Linked DNA regions of Drosophila melanogaster. The gene in region 2 interacts genetically with the main gene of each other region. Each region holds a gene or a part of one and is shown on either strand. Other genes may lie near its edges.

The links.
Region 1: of Buffy (region 2) and Pink1, changing one suppresses a phenotype caused by changing the other (phenotypic suppression), as found in Drosophila melanogaster (2 studies listed by BioGRID).

Annotation. Positions count from the first base shown.
Region 1 is NC_004354.4:6,682,204-6,689,742, reverse strand, and holds Pink1 (PTEN-induced putative kinase 1), read right to left. Parts: upstream 5,903-7,539; 5' UTR 5,673-5,902; exon of another isoform or gene 5,616-5,672; 5' UTR 5,282-5,615; intron 5,226-5,281; 5' UTR 5,187-5,225; coding exon 5,022-5,186; intron 4,958-5,021; coding exon 4,172-4,957; intron 4,109-4,171; coding exon 3,095-4,108; intron 3,031-3,094; coding exon 2,830-3,030; 3' UTR 2,705-2,829; downstream 1-2,704. Other genes in the region: CG3184 (uncharacterized protein), read left to right, coding at 1,003-2,073; CG44303 (uncharacterized protein), read left to right, coding at 2,378-2,380, 2,441-2,704; Fum2 (fumarase 2), read right to left, coding at 6,113-6,372, 6,433-7,237, 7,321-7,524.
Region 2 is NT_033778.4:11,676,190-11,684,668, reverse strand, and holds the start of Buffy (buffy), read right to left. Parts: upstream 5,178-8,479; 5' UTR 5,083-5,177; intron 505-5,082; exon of another isoform or gene 160-504; coding exon of another isoform or gene 1-159. Other genes in the region: CG13196 (uncharacterized protein), read left to right, coding at 1-159; Tret1-2 (trehalose transporter 1-2), read right to left, coding at 6,771-6,955, 7,016-7,301, 7,358-8,143, 8,332-8,457; Roc2 (regulator of cullins 2), read left to right, coding at 6,304-6,463.

The DNA of each region.
Region 1 (7,539 bases), on a different chromosome or scaffold from region 2:
GCTAGCCAGGCCTCCATTTCCGCCGGAATATCAGGCGTTGGACGCACAAACGATGGAGATATCTGCGAACAGTAGGGATTGTCTATAGTTATCAATAAGCGTATATTTTTTTTTAATCTGTTTTTTAAAGTGTTAATGTACTTCAATGGTAGATTTTGTAAAAAGTCAGAGTAAGCGGAGATCAAGGATCAAGTGCAATACGGATGCCTGGCAGGCACAAAAGTCCACCGGAAACCCAGAAAGCTAAATGAAATGAAACACTGTGACGCCCCGAAAGCCACTGAAAATCGAAGAAATGCAGCTAAAATAAAAAGATAACTACGATCGATGGTGGAGATCCAACTAAACCTAATCCAGAATATGTAGCGCGTAAACAGAGCACTAAGTAGTTGTATGTATTAACTATTAATTTTTTAAATTAGCAAAAAAAAAGCAAAAAAAAAACCCAAAATAACAAATAAATCTAATAAGATCGAAACAAAACGGTCAATGGCAGCGGTGTATGGGATGTATGTGTGGTCAGCCAGTGGCTATCGGTTATCGATAGCAAATGCAGAGGCGAACGTGTTTTTGCATGTTGCACGTCTGGCGCGCACATGACGCGCATGACGCGCACCACATCCGCTGGAAATTTTTTCCAAAGGCAGCCTTTCTTTCTTTCTATTCCTACTCATTACGGTAGTGGTTGTCAGCGTGCAGGTGATGGAAAAGCTCTGGAGGATCTGTATAAAAATCATAATTAACTTTTTAAAAATGTGTTCATATTTTTTCACATTTTTATTGGTTTGGCAATTTTCTATTGATTTGCAAAAAATCTGTTTTCCACTCCTAGATTATTCTTCGTTTTACTGTTTGTCTTGCAGATTTTTATCAGTAGAAGCCCAAAATAACAAATAAATCTAATAAGAACAAAACAACACGGTCGATTGGCAGCGATGTATGGGACAGATGGTCAGCTAGTGGCTATCGGTTATCGATTGCTGATAACATCTTTTCATAAACATGTTTACAACGCTCCACAGCGAGGATACGGAATATTCGGCAGATTCTGTGGAGTGGCTGACACACGATGATGCGGCAACGGGTTTCTTTGCCTGCGGCACCTATCAGTTGGTCCAGGAGGAGGACGAGCCGGCGGCGGAGACTTCAGCCAAGCGTCCACGCAAGGGTCGCGTTTATTTATACCAGTTTGAAGAGGAAAACTGCCGCCTGGAGCGGCTACAGTGCATCGAAACGTCTGCCATTCTCGACATGAAGTGGCTGCCGGCCTGGAGCAGTGAGTGTAATCCCCACCTGGCCACGGTCAACTCTTTAGGCCAGATGGAATTGTACGAGTTTCTCCAGGATGCGAAGCTACTGCAGAGGCGTACGTGTTTTAGCCTGGCGGAGCAGGATTCGTCGGAGGAAGCGCCATTGGCGCTGGCCCTAGACTGGCAACATGACGGGCAGCACATCCGACTGGCCATCTCCGATTCCAAAGGCGGCCTAAATCTATTGAGCTACTCATCACAGGGTGAGATAATCCGCGAACGGTCGTGGTTGTCCCATGGCTTTGAGGCTTGGACCTGTGCCTTTGATCGTTGGTCACCGCACATTCTGTACAGTGGTGGCGACGATATGCTGCTCATGGCCCACGATCTGCGCACCAAGCAGCGTGCGTGGACCAACCGGGCGCACATGGCTGGAGTCACCTGTCTGCTAAGTCATCCGCGGCACGAAAACCATCTGCTCACGGGTAGCTATGATGAGCAGTTGCGTCTCTTCGACACCAGATCGATGAAGCGATCACTGGCGGAACTGGACTTGAGCGGAGGCATCTGGAGGCTGAAGCCGCATCCTGCCCAGCCCGATCTCATCCTGGCCGCCTGCATGTACACCAACTTTAGCGTGGTGCAGCTGGATGTCGCGGCACCTGGCCTGAGTTTACTGGGCGCCTATGAGGAGCATAAGAGCATCTGCTACGGGGCCGATTGGGCACCATGGAGAAACAAGGACGATGCGTCCTTGACCATGGCCACTTGCTCCTTTTATGATCACACGTTGTGTGTGAGTCGCGTGGATATTAACAAATGAATTCGATATCTGTATATTATGTTATGTGACTAAAAACTAAAAGAAAAATAAACATTTGCTGGCTTATGTTTTTCAACTATCTATAGTTTGTATAATAGTTTGCGGAAAAAACAGAATTGTTCATGGCATTTGGGATATCCTAAGTTTTCCAAAACTAATTTTAAACTGCCAACATCCCTGGCAGGCGATATCGATAACGCATGCAATCGGCTCAGCCCTGGTGCGGTTATCGTAAGTTCTGTCAGCGCATTTTCATTCGAAGTTTGCGAATTCAGAGAAGTGAATGAACTTGAACTGTTTAGTTATGGTAAGTACTAAACGTAGAGATCCTGCTAACTTTATAAACTCCTCATTCTACTCCGCACAGCATCCCCCACAAAATCCAAACAAGTTGGACGCCGAGGATAGCCTGGATCAGGCTATAGACAACATCGAAGACTCAAACGAGGCCAATCTCTATAAGCTTATCGAGCTGGAGGAGCAGAATGTGGCCTGGGAGAAACATCTTGCGGAACTCCAAATTATGATCAGGCAGGTGATGGAAAAGCTCGACAGGAGTTTGGTCAAACAGGAGGCGCTGGTGGCGAAAATGCAGAAGCTGAAGAATCAGAAAGATCAGGAGGGTCAATAATTATTGTACCGGAGGCGTGCTTTTGGCGTTAATTTTGATTTCATTTATAAATACATATGTAAAATATAGGTATCACACGCTTTTCCATTTGATTTTCTCAGAGTAACAAGTAGAAGGCTTTTCTCCTACGCCACCACATTCTGGATCCAGTTGAGGGCGCCGCGAATGCGACGCAGCCGGGCGCGTGCCAGAAAGCTGCATATGAGCAGGTACTCCACATAGGCGCGCCTATTGCCACAGCTGGCCACTGGCATCAATCCGGCGCCCATCTGTGGACGACCCTCGCACATAATCTTAGTGGTCAGCGAAAGGAGCCACTGTAGGATCTGTAAAAAAAAATCATAATTAGCTTAAAAGGATGCTGATGTGGTATCAAACACTGCGACCCACCTCCGGACTGTTGGGCATGCCGCCCGCCTTAAGCCAATTGGATGGGGCCCAGAGGAACAGCTGCACCACATTTGCCGCAATATCCGGACTGACCCGCTTGGACGGGTTGGGATTGAGGATGTTGTAGACCAGCTGTTGCAGCAGCGGCGGGCAAGCATCGCTCATTGGCGGCAATTGGTCCTGTCGGTAATCGCTGTTCCTCAGCGAAAGCGTCATCTCACCGCGTTCGCGCGCCATCCCACCGCTGCTCGAATAGAACGGATTGCGGTTGCCAAAGATTTCGTAAGCCAGGGCACCGCAAGCCCACAGATCGGCCTTGCCATAATTGAGTACGGCAAACGGACCGGGCATCGTATTGAAGATCTCTGGCGCCATCAACGCCGCATTGCCGCCCTTGTCGACGTCGTGCGAAACGTACGGCAGGCGCAGGCCATGCACCTTGTCCGCCAGACAACAGCCAAAGTCGGAGAGCACTAGCACCGGCGCCGCATCGTCCTGCAGCTCGATTAGCACATTATCAGACTTTAGGTCACGATGGGCAACGCCGTGACGGCTCAAATGGTTGACAGCCTCGAGCATTTGAGCCAGCAGCAGGATGCGATTGCGCGTGCTCAGATCCTGGCTATCGAGCAGGCCGCGAAGACTGTGATCGTAGCGTTTCATCAGCAGATACAGCGACATATTGCGGCCATAGCCCTGTGGATTGATGCGTTGCGGCTGCGCCACCGGATACAGGAGATGGCCATCGGGAAAGTTGCGCACCTCGTCGCAAAAGAAGCCAAACATACAGACAATGTTCGGATGCCGCGGCAGGTGAACAGTTTGATTCTGCAGCAAACGTTCCCACTCATCGGCGGCCTCATTCATGCCGCGCTGGCGTGCCGGTACCGTCTCCTTGTACATGGCACGCAGTATGGACAGAGCGTTGCTCTGGATGTCGTAGTTGAACATCATTTTGAGTGCCAGTGGATAACTGTCCACAGAGCTGTTGATGTTTGAATTCGCTGGAGAAGTCTGCAAGTTAAAGCAAAGAGCGTGATGGCAAGTTGCCATGCAGATTTAAGCTTACATATTTACCACATTGAAGGCACTGCTGCTGGGCTCCTGGTTCTGATGCTGCTCTTGTTCCTGATTCTGATGCTGCTGTTGCTCGTGGTGCCGCTGGTCCTGTTCCCTCGACTGGGCGCCCACGAAATCACTGGCCGCAGATGGCTGGCTGTAGTGGAAGACGTTGTCCACAGAGCCGCCAAAGTTGTGAACAAAGCGCGACATGTTCTGCAGCGGCGACATCATCTCGTGGGTACTCCAGCTATTCGGCGCAAAGGCTGGCGTTGCCTGCGGCTGCGCATCGGTATGCAGGGATGCACCATCCGAGGCAACATCTTTCTTGAAATCCGCTGCATAGACGACAGCGGCACAACCTTTGGCTATGGGCGGACCGATTTCCAAGTCATCGATGGTGAACTTGCTGTCTAGCGTATCGGAGATCTCGTCGTGATTCCAGGCGTTCTGCAGCCGGCTAGCTGCCTCCCGAATCTCCCAGCACACGCCCTCCAGTTCATCCTCCTTGCTGAGCACACCCGATCCGGAGGCCAGACTAACGCCAATCAGGGCGAAGAAGGGCGCTGAATCGCCAAAGAATAGCTTGCGGGTAGCGCGCTGGCGCAGATCCTCCGAGTAGGTGGTGGTCACCCGGCTGAGGATGTTGTCGATGAACAATTTGCGCGCATGCTGGCCCACTCGGAAGATTCCACTGCTGCTGGTGGGGCTACTGCCGCTGCCATTAAACGGTGATCCCGACGGGGAGTTGATGGTGCGGGGCACTACATTGACCACCGATTTGGCCGCCTGCTGGGGCGTTGTCTGGCGAAGAGATTGGATGCGGGTTAATTGGACATGCCTTGATCATCCGTTTAGCTTGACTTACCCGCAGCACATTGGCAGCGGTGGAGGGTAGGGGAAAGCCTCGCTTGCTTCTTGTCTTCAATTGATTCTGGTCCAAAATGTTGGCGTGTATATCACGTTTACAATAGCTGCGCAAAATGTAGCGACCATGTTTGATCAGTCGCACGGTCAGCAGTCTCACAGACATCTTTCGGCCCGCAAAGACCTCGGCTCCTAGTGCCTGCAACTGAATGAAGCACCTTAAACGGTCTGTCATCTATTAATTTAATTTTTAATTTTTACCTATTCTTTAAGATTTGTGGTGCTTAACTCTTGCTGCTGCTTCCTCTTCTTCTCCGCCAATTTTGCTCATGTGTGCGATCGATAGCGCCGATTTATAACCAAACAGCTGCTGTCGTTTCGTTTCGGTTCGGTTCGTTTCGATTCGATTGTTTTGTTTTTGCGTCGCAAATAAATTTTCTGTTTGTGGGTGGTGGTGGTTGTGGTGCAGCTGCGGGGCGAAGTGTGGGGGCGGTGGTGGCAGAACTACAAGGCGAAATCGTCGAATCGAAAGGGTTTATTTTTGCAATGATTATCCAAAGATATATCGCCTTTTTCGATATCTGTGTGGGCTAGACTGATTTTGGGCTATTTTCAACTGAACAAAACGATTAATTTACGACCTCCAACTTGCCTGGCAGCCAATTTTTAATGTAATGCGCCTACTTCAACGTTTCGTTTCGATTCGATTTGGTCGTTAGATAATCGCTGGTCAGCTGGATCTTTTCATTTGTCACGGAAAATGTGCGCCGCAATAAACACTTGTTTAAAAGCTTGCTTTGCTTATATTTCGCTATAAAATAATAGCTAAGTGTGCAAGAATTTACGATAAAAACAACGGAATAATTTAGAAACAGCAAGGCGTTAGTGTGACCACACTTACGGTATATCTTTAGAATCGATAATGACTATCGCGTAGTGTGGACTCGAATCATTTGGAGAATTCAAAAACTAAAAACCGTTATTCACCTGCCGTAAAATCAACAAATTAATACAATCTATTGAAATATCCTGCTACACACAAAAATTTATTACACGAAACTAAAACAAAATCGTCAATAGCCGCACAGCGAATCACTTCGGTCCCAGCATCTCCTTGGGATTGACCCACTCCTTGAACTGCTCTTCGGTAATTCCGGTCTTCAGTGCCTCCTCCTTCAAGGTCGTCTTATTCTTGTGCGCCGTCTTGGCGATCAGGGCGGCCTTGTCATAGCCAATGTGCGGATTCAGCGCGGTCACCAGCATCAAGGACTCGTTCATGATCTTGTCGATCCTCTCCTTGTTGGCCTGCAGTCCCTCCACGCAGTTCTTGCTGAAGGTCATGCTGCCATCAGCTGGGAGGAGAAGGTTATGTATGCATGTTTTTCCACTTGGAAAACACATTTCCGACTCACCCAACAAGCGAATGGAGCGCAGCACATTGGACACGACCAGGGGTTTGAATACATTTAGCTCGAAGTGCCCGTTGGAGCCGCCGATGGTCACCGCCACCTGATTGCCCATCACCTGGGCACACAGCATGGTCATTGATTCGCATTGCGTGGGATTCACCTTGCCGGGCATGATGGAGCTACCGGGCTCGTTCTCCGGCAGCATTAGTTCGCCCAGACCGCAACGCGGACCCGATCCCAGCAATCGGATATCGTTGGCGATCTTCATCAGGCTGACGGCGATCGTGTTGAGCACACCATGCACCTCCACCATGGCATCGCGGGCAGCCAGTGCCTCGAACTTGTTGGGCGCCGACACGAAGGGCAAGCAGGTTAGCTCCGAAATGCGCTTGGCCACCTTCTCGGCGAATCCCTTGCGTGTGTTCAGACCCGTACCCACAGCAGTGCCGCCCAGAGCCAGCTCATAGACGCGCGGCAGACAGCCCTTGATCCTTTCCAGACCGTTGGTCAACTGCTGTGTATAACCGCTGAATTCCTGGCCCAAAGTCAGCGGAACTGCGTCCATCAAGTGGGTGCGTCCGATCTTGATGATGTCCTTGAACTCATCCGACTTGGACTTGAGGGCATCCCTCAAGTGTGTAACCGCCGGAACAAGCCGCTCGTTCAGCTCCATGCCCACCGAAATGTGAATGGCCGTGGGGAAGGTGTCGTTGGAGCTCTGCGACTTGTTCACATGATCGTTGGGATGCACCGGCTTCTTGCTGCCCAGTTCGCCGCCCATCATCTTAATGGCCGCATTGCTGATCACCTAGTAGGTTTGCCAATGGCATGGGGCAGGAGAAGCATCCAGCTATACACATTTCTCTCGTTAGCCCTATCTAACAATCTTACCTCGTTGGTGTTCATATTGGTCTGGGTGCCCGAACCGGTTTGCCAGATGACCAATGGGAAGTGACCCTGTTTGTATAGCTTGCCGGAAATGACATCGTCGCAGGCGCAGGATACGGCATCCGACACCTTGCCATCTAGTCCGTAATCCTTGTTGACCTCGGCACATGCCTTCTTCAGTATGCCCATGGCCTGGATCACCGGCATCTGCGGGCAGTTTGG
Region 2 (8,479 bases):
CCCGGTGAAGAGGATGTGTCTCCAAAGGATCGGGATATTGAGATTGGAGATTCCGGTATCAGGGAGACATCCAAATCTTTAGCTCTCTTTGGAAGTTTGGGATTTGTGGTGATGCTAATGGGTGTTGCTGTTGTGGCATTGTATAAATTTGGAAAATAGTTCAATTTGAATCTTAATTTCTTTCCATTATTTCTAACTACATGAATATACCCCTTTTAAGACAGAAATCCTTATCTAATTTGTGTATAAGTGGTTTCCCTGCTTACCCATCCATTAAAAGCAGTCACAAAACGCCATCAATAGCAATCGTATCTGTATCTGAGGCGCCAATCTTGAAGTGACTTTTATCTATCTGGCTGCCAAGTAAATTGACTTATCGCCACTGCGAAATCAACAACGAGCCAATGTTTGCCCATTTCGAGATTAAAACAGAAATTAGCACTTAATAAAATGTAATTTATGTTCATGTCGCCAGTGATTGAGCGGACCTGAGAATAAAATCTTAAAAAAAAAAACAAAAAACAAGTGTACGATAGATAGCTCAAAAAGCCAGTAGGCAAACCGATTTCCAAACTGCGCGCTTAGTTCGCAAATTGCAATCTGTGATTTAGTTATGGCCAGATAGTTGTGGCCTAAACCGAAATTTTATCACGTTTTCACGCTTCGAGCGCGGCTAATGAAACCTCGTTCACAGTCGATTTCGGTTTTTGGCTTTGTTATTTGGTGCAATTTGTTGACGGTTTTCGTATATGATAATCCATCCATCTGGCTGGCTGACAGTTGGCGCTTAATGGGCATGAAAATCGCAGCCAATTAGCCGTTGATTTCAGCCGCTTTTGCTCGATGGGTGGCCAAAAGTCTAGAGTTACAAGTTAATTACCCATTGGGGCTTCAGGAGATACATACATACATAGGTATTTCGGAATTTGTTTGCTAGCTGGGTGGCATTGTGATAAAATGGTCATCGTGAGATTCTTCTAACTTAAATAGTTGAAAAAAAATAAATAAATAAACAAAGACTTTGTTGTGTGATTTTTTATATTTAAATATTCTATTACTACTTCCGTAACTTTTAACTAGTTCAAATACATTTCATTTGCAGTTTTTCGTGGCTGCCAAATGAAATTTGTTGCGCATTATATAAGCGATCATTAATATATTTTGAAATTAACTTTCCATAACGCAAACTGGCCTTTTAGCACTTTTCGTTGACCTAACCCAAGCGTAGATGCATTCCCACACAGCTGAGATCATCATTCACAGCTCGACGAGATGCCCCCAATTGCATCCCCATCTCCACTTTGGGGAATGTGGCGCGATGTTTTTACAGGCTTCGCCAGCGATGTTGGCTAATTAATAATCCCAACGCGTTCCGGCTCGAACACAAATAGATTTGGTGGGCCAATCGGGGTAGGGGGCGGAATCTTGGAGCTTGCAGGCGAGGCTACTTTGTCTTTGTCGCCTAAATGGCAGGCAAAATGTTTGCCGAACATAAATTAATGTCGTCCCCAACTGGCGCTTAAGTTCGTGTTCGATTTGGCCGCAATCCGTGTACTCCACTCTATAAAGTGCAGTCGATGTAAAGCTCCCCCAGTTGCCACTCATTTCTTTCGCCAAAGTGGCGGCTGCAATTTACACTCTTCATTCAGCATCCAAATCGGCCGAATGGGTATGGGGTCCAGTAAGTATGTGTGTGTGTGTGTGTGTGTGGACCTGGCCTTAACAATTTTGATGTCTGCTTAAATTACCGACTACTTAGTGCCCAGTTTAGCAATGCCTAATAAATATTTATGAGCGCACTTCATTTTAGCCAAGTTTCAATGGACAAGCAAAACGCAGTTCTATGAATGGATATCGATGTTCATGACTGGCAATCGTCGATTTCGCTGCTCATTAAAGGAGTCGGCACAACTCGAAAGGTTTTAAAAGGGAGCAGATCAAGTTAATTAAAACATTATACTTAATCAAAACGGGAGCAAGCAACTCATTTTTTTAGGTTTTATTTCAAAGTTCAGTGCAAGAAAAACGAGAATTTGGATAGAAAATCTTGAAGCTCAAACTAAACTCCTAAAAGATCAAATGTATAACGATTTATGATAATTGAATTGATGTATGTTCTATAGTAAGAAAGAAATTCTTTATATTAAAAAATCCAATAATTAAAAATGAAAAGAACTTCGAAAACCATAAATTTGAAAACATGTCATAATCGTATGTCATATTTCAAATGCAAGATTATATATAATACTTCTTAAACCACGAAACATAAAATGCTTAGAAAATGTATATATGTACATATATGATCTCTTTCTTGGTTAAGCAGTTAATAACTTTTATTATTTTTAATTTCATTTTTAATATGCCTGAACTTTAATTTGTATACCTGTATTTTCATAAAAATACAGCAATTTAAAGGAAATAAAATAGCCTTTTAACTTCTAGACAGCCTACCCATTTGATAACTTCTCCCTCGGCGATTCAACTTAACTATTTGCAAATTAATTGGATTACACAAGCTGTTATTTATTTATGCACAATTAGTGCAGTAAAACTGCTCTCTCAACACCCAATTATTAATGCTTTCCGATTGGCCGGATCACAAAAAATATAACTAAATCAACAACTCGGAATCGGCGAGTTGCGCGCACTCATTAGCAACTTTTATTAGCCAAAAGTGTCAAATGCTTTATCTCGGGCTTGGATTGGCCCAAACCGAGTTGCCTTAAAGCGTCGCCAGGCATTTCATTTCATTTCATTTTATTTGATTTCATTTTTTGTTTTGCCATTTTTTGCCAACCTTATTGGCCGCTCGACTCGTTTTTATGCGTTTTTAGCATTGTGCGCATGTTAACATTTGTGTTATTGATTTTTTACAACATTTGACAGTTACGCAGACTCCGTATTGGAATTTCGCATATCTTTTTGTATCTCTCAGTTTGTTTGCTTGAATCAAATTCGCGGAGCGCATGACAAGCGATTTGGAGCAATTTGACTTTCGACTGCTGATTGGTTAATCAAATGTGGGTTCATTAAATTGCCATTTTTTTTTTTTTTTTTACATTTAATTGCATATTTGATCGCCGGACCGAAGTGACAGCGCATAGTAATACTATATCATAAACGACACATAAAGTGCTTGCAAATAGCCGCAATCTTGCGGTTTTACTGCTTTTTGTTGTATTATTATTATTTCATTATTTTTTGTTGTATTATTTGTGGCCATTCGGCTTGAAATGAAAATGGGAAATTAGCAGACGGTAAAACGCCTCTGTTTGACATCGTTTGCAATTGGAAATTTACACCATCCTCAGACGTTACAGGTGGCAAACATTGTTCAGTTCATTAATTGTTGATTTTGCACTTTTTCAACCATTCAGCCGCCAATGTGCGTCATTCAAATCGAACGTGCACGGCGTTAAAGCCAAGTTAATATGGTCTAAAGGGAGGGGCAAGGGGGCGCAAGTGCTTTTCGCCAGTTAATTGCATTTACTTCTCGAGGCTTTGTGGCATCGGGGGCATGAAGTGATCTTGTTCGAAATCCCTAAAACATTTGCACTCATACTTGGAAAATGGGTGTTGCAATTGAGCATTTATTGGCATTTTTAAACATTAAATAAACACACTTTTGTGATGGAATTTGGTTTTTAAATATACCAGATAGTTACTTTTGAAATGAATTATGACATTCAAATCTTGAATATATGTACAACCTGTTAAAATATGCTTTCTGAAATTTATATGTACATGTTCGAAACTTTGCTATAGTTTCACATGCAAAATTTTAAACACTTTTGTATATACTCGAAACTGCTCTAAATGAAAATTTACTGGTAAGCTGTGGAAATTTATCGATCTAGCTTATAAGGAAAACAAAACTGCCTTTAAGAGTTTGATTTTATTTTTTAGCGACTAGAGTTCCACTTTATACGATTATAGATACACCCACAAAGTGTCACATTTACCATCGATATCTCTGAGATACAACACCCCCATATGTACATACACATGTACATATATCTATAATTTTCGCTTAAAAATCATAAACAATTTAACCGAATAGACCCGGTAAATCAAAGTGTCCAATGCCTTTGTCAATAAACATTTGTCGTTCCACTAATTGCCAGCGACCAACTTACAAACAAACAAACAAACAGAAAAGCATGAAAAAACAAGAAAGAAATAGCAGAAAAAAAACCAAAAATCATTTATGGCAAAGTCAATTGCGCTAGTGCTATCTCTTTCGCGCGATGTGGGTGGAAGCATTACGTTGATTATCCAGCAAAGCCAACAACAAAAGCAACAACAACACACTCACACACGCACACAGAAAACAACGAAATTTAATTAAATTAAACTTGCTGTTGGCCTGTTTCTCCTTCAGCTGCTACTTCTTTATTCCGGTTAAAAAAAAGGGCGTTCAACTCAAGGGTTTTATTTTGCAATTATTGATATTTATCCGTATCGCTTTTGACACTCATTTGTGTTTAAGTCTACGAAATGACCTTTATCTGTTTAAATTTTCATTATTTGTTACTTCCACATTTGTTTGCGGTTGTATTAAATTGCACATTTTCATTAGCCACAGGTGATATTTGCTCTTAATTGGCATTTAACACGTCGTCATTTTGTAAGGCTTATGTAGATTTTACATTTGCTATTTGAAAATTTATTGCTTACTGTGAAAAACAACTAATTTCTCCACATTTATTTACTAAAATACCACTCCCTTAATCGGCTTATCGCACATTTGGCATCGGATCGCATTGATACGGGATGTTTATCTTTGATTGTCGGATGCGCCATTTGTGCTGATAGTGATAATGGGTCATTTGCCATTATCTTTTTCAATTTCAGTTTACGATGGGCGAATAATAAGGCTGAACTGTTAGATTCCGGCTGAGCGGCATGGAAATTACTTAATTACTTATGCGGGGCGCGTTCTGGTTGGCAACGGAATCGGAATCAGGTTGCTGTATATTCACGGTCAGCTTTTGTCGTTCGAAGGTTTTCATTTTAAAGTAATCACCGGAAACCGCAAATAATTTATATTGTCAAATTTGTGTTAGTGCATTGGAAACCAACCGTTTATTTCCCAACGCAAGCTGAAACTTGAGAAGCGCGGCCGAAAAACGCTGCCGCAAACGTTCCGCACTCGTCGAAGGCTGAAAATGAATTGAACCGAAGTTGAAGTAAGCGAAAACCAAATCACAAAACAAATTAACCGCCTTATCGATATTTAATTATCGGTCGTCGATAGGTGTGTCCGTGCATATAAGGTGAATGTATCCCCTAAATGGCTGTGGCAACACTGAAAATAGTTTTCCCTTGTTTTGGTGTGGCCACACTGACTTTTGGCTTGCTATTGTTTACATTCAATTATTTCGACTTCTTATTTGTTGGTAAGTCAAACCGGCGGTTCCTTATCATTTGCCCGAAACTAAGCAAGAAGTAGGAGTGAGGTTAACAACTTAACGAACACTGTGATAACCTTTCCTTCGTATACAACTGAGAATGGCATTTCTTTGTTCTCGGAGGAAGAAGTAACTTTTTGGCAAGTTGAGCAAAACATTAAAATTCGTATCAGCCACTTGCTACGAAAGTAAATTACATTTTTACCAGGGATAAGTGAGAGGCTTTATAGTCTATCCCCCTATTCCGCAGCTACCAATATTCATAAAACAAAAAACAATCAAGAAGAATGCGCTTAGTCGAATGGCTCAACTATCAGATACCCGTTACTCTGTTCCCTAATACTAATATACCGTTTGTTCGTAGAATTATCGCCACCAGTTGGAAGGAAGCAACACCTGTTGATCATTTTTGAACTTTTCTACTTGTAGCTCTCCTACGCCTATTAAGCATATTTTTCGAGTAATATTCCTAATATTTGTATAATTACCTTATTTAAAATCCTAAACCTGAGTTACGTACTGATGTCCGGACCTGGTTAGACCACTTTGCCATTTGCTAATAATCAATAACTAAGATAGGTCCGGTTTAGAGTTTCTAATACCCTATAAATTAACAGTTAGAAAAATATTTAAAAACGGGGTCGAATAAAACTTAAAATTGTTTACCAAATAAAAATAAAAACATAAAACATTAAAGGGAAATTAAAAATAAAAGAACCTTAAAAAATTAATATATTGTATTGTAAAATTAAAAAACATTTTTAAACCGCTATTTGTAATACTAATTAAAATCTCCCATACAGGAGGATATACACAAGAAACAAAAAAAAAATATTAAAAAACCGAATCTCATTAGCCCAGTGGATTGGTCAGTTTCCCAGACTTTTTTGACATGGCTGATGATCCAGAAAACTCAGTGGATAGGCCCACAGACGACGGAGATGCCGGCAAACCGGAAAAAATGTTTACGCTGAAGAAATGGAACGCAGTTGCAATGTGGAGTTGGGATGTGGAATGCGATATCTGTGCCATTTGCCGTGTTCAAGTTATGGGTGAGCAATACCACTGATTTCAAAACTCTAATCTTGAGTATTAATAATAATAAAAGGTCCTACATATGTAACAATATGTAACTAGAATATTATTATACTGGTGTCTTTGTTAACACTATCTTGTGCATATCGCAAGCGAAAATGTTTTTTACTCACATATACATAAGTGCCTAAAAACTTTCAATTGGTGTATTTTTCAACGGTAATTTTGATTTATTGCGCTTGCCTAAAAATTCACAATTTAAGCACGAAGACACCACCCTACTATTTGGTTTGAACGCATCTCAGATCCTTAGCAACACGCCATTTACATGTTGAAAGGAAATGGCTTGATGTTGACCACCGAGGACATGGGCACACGGCCCATCATCTTTCGCTCAATTTCCTCCAACGACTTGCCCCGCGTTTCGGGCACAAAAATAATCACAAAGAACAGACCCACGATGCAGATGGCGCCGAATAGCCAGAAGGCTCCATGCGCGCCCATAGCAACTACACACAAAAATATTAAATATTATTACACCACTTATTTTAGTTAGTTGCACTACGCACCCGTGAGGTCCTGGAAGGTCTTGGTTACCACAAACGTGCAGAACCAGTTGAAAGCCGTGACCACCGATGCAGCCGGTCCTCGAATCTTGGCTGGCAGAATCTCACCCATCATCAGCCAGGGAATGGGTCCGAAGCCCAGGGAGAATCCCAGAATGTAGATAACGAAGCAAGTGAGTGGCAACCAACCCAAATGGGACACATCCGGACCATGCGCCTTGCAGTAGAAGAAGCCGCCCAGAATGGACAGGGTCACGATCATGGCGATGTCGGATACATACAGAAGAATCTAAAAATTACGATTAGTAAACAATGATTTTCATTTATATGCATCTTTAAACCCACCTTTCTGCCCAACCGATCAATCAGAATGATGCCCATAAACGTAGCAAAAAAGTTAACTACACCCACGATGATCGTGGAAAGATTGCTATCAATTGTGGATCCCGCATCCTTGAAGATCTGGACCGTGTAGAAAATAACCGCGTTGATACCGCTGAACTGTTGAAAGAACATCAGACCCAAGGAAATGGAAAGTGGCTTCAGATTGTTTCGCTTAAACAGCTCCAAACAGGTGTTCTGAGTGGCCTGACGATCGGCATCGGCCTGAGATTGCATCAACTCCTTTAGTTCGGGCTCCACATCCGCCTCCTTGCCACGCAGCCATTTCAAAGCCTTCCTGGCGCGCTCTTCCTGACCACGGTTCACAAACCAGCGCGGAGTTTCGGGGATAATGATCATCAAAATCAGGAAGGGAACGGGCAGAGCAGCTCCCAAGAAGGCCAGCATCGACCAATTCATAAAGGATCCCGCCACATAGCAAACCAGGATGCCTATGTTACCAAGAGCGGTGGGCAGCAAACCCAAAGTGCCCCGCACTTCCGGCTGCAAAGTCTCACCCAGGTAGACGGGCAGGGATAAAGAGGCAATGCCAACGCAGAATCCAGTTAGGAATCGTCCGCACAGAATCATGATCACATTCACAGCACACGCAATCAGCAGTGATGATACGATGAAGGGCACCGCAGTGGCCAGGATGGTGCTGCGCCTGCCCAGATATTCGATCAAGGGTCCTCCTGTTATGCCACCTGCTAATGCAGCCAGTGGCATGATGCCACCAACCCAGGAACCCTGCAATAGTATAGATTTCAAGTGATTGGATAGGGGTTTAGCTTCGTTTGGGAATAGAAATCCGATTTTCGCTGGAAAAGTGTGCCTTTGAAACGCTCTGTTGAAATTATCTGAATTATTCAACATATCACTGGGACTTATTAGCTTCGAATTAGCTTATCTGCGAACAAAGAGTTAACAAAACTTACAGCATCTTTTGTGACCTCAAAGGAGGTGATGGTCCGATCGGTCATCGACACAAGTGCAGGCGACGTGTAAGCGCTGACAAATCCGACCACCAAGGAGCACAGCGAGACACTCAGAGCAGCCAAAACCTGGAAATAGGAAGGAAAACGA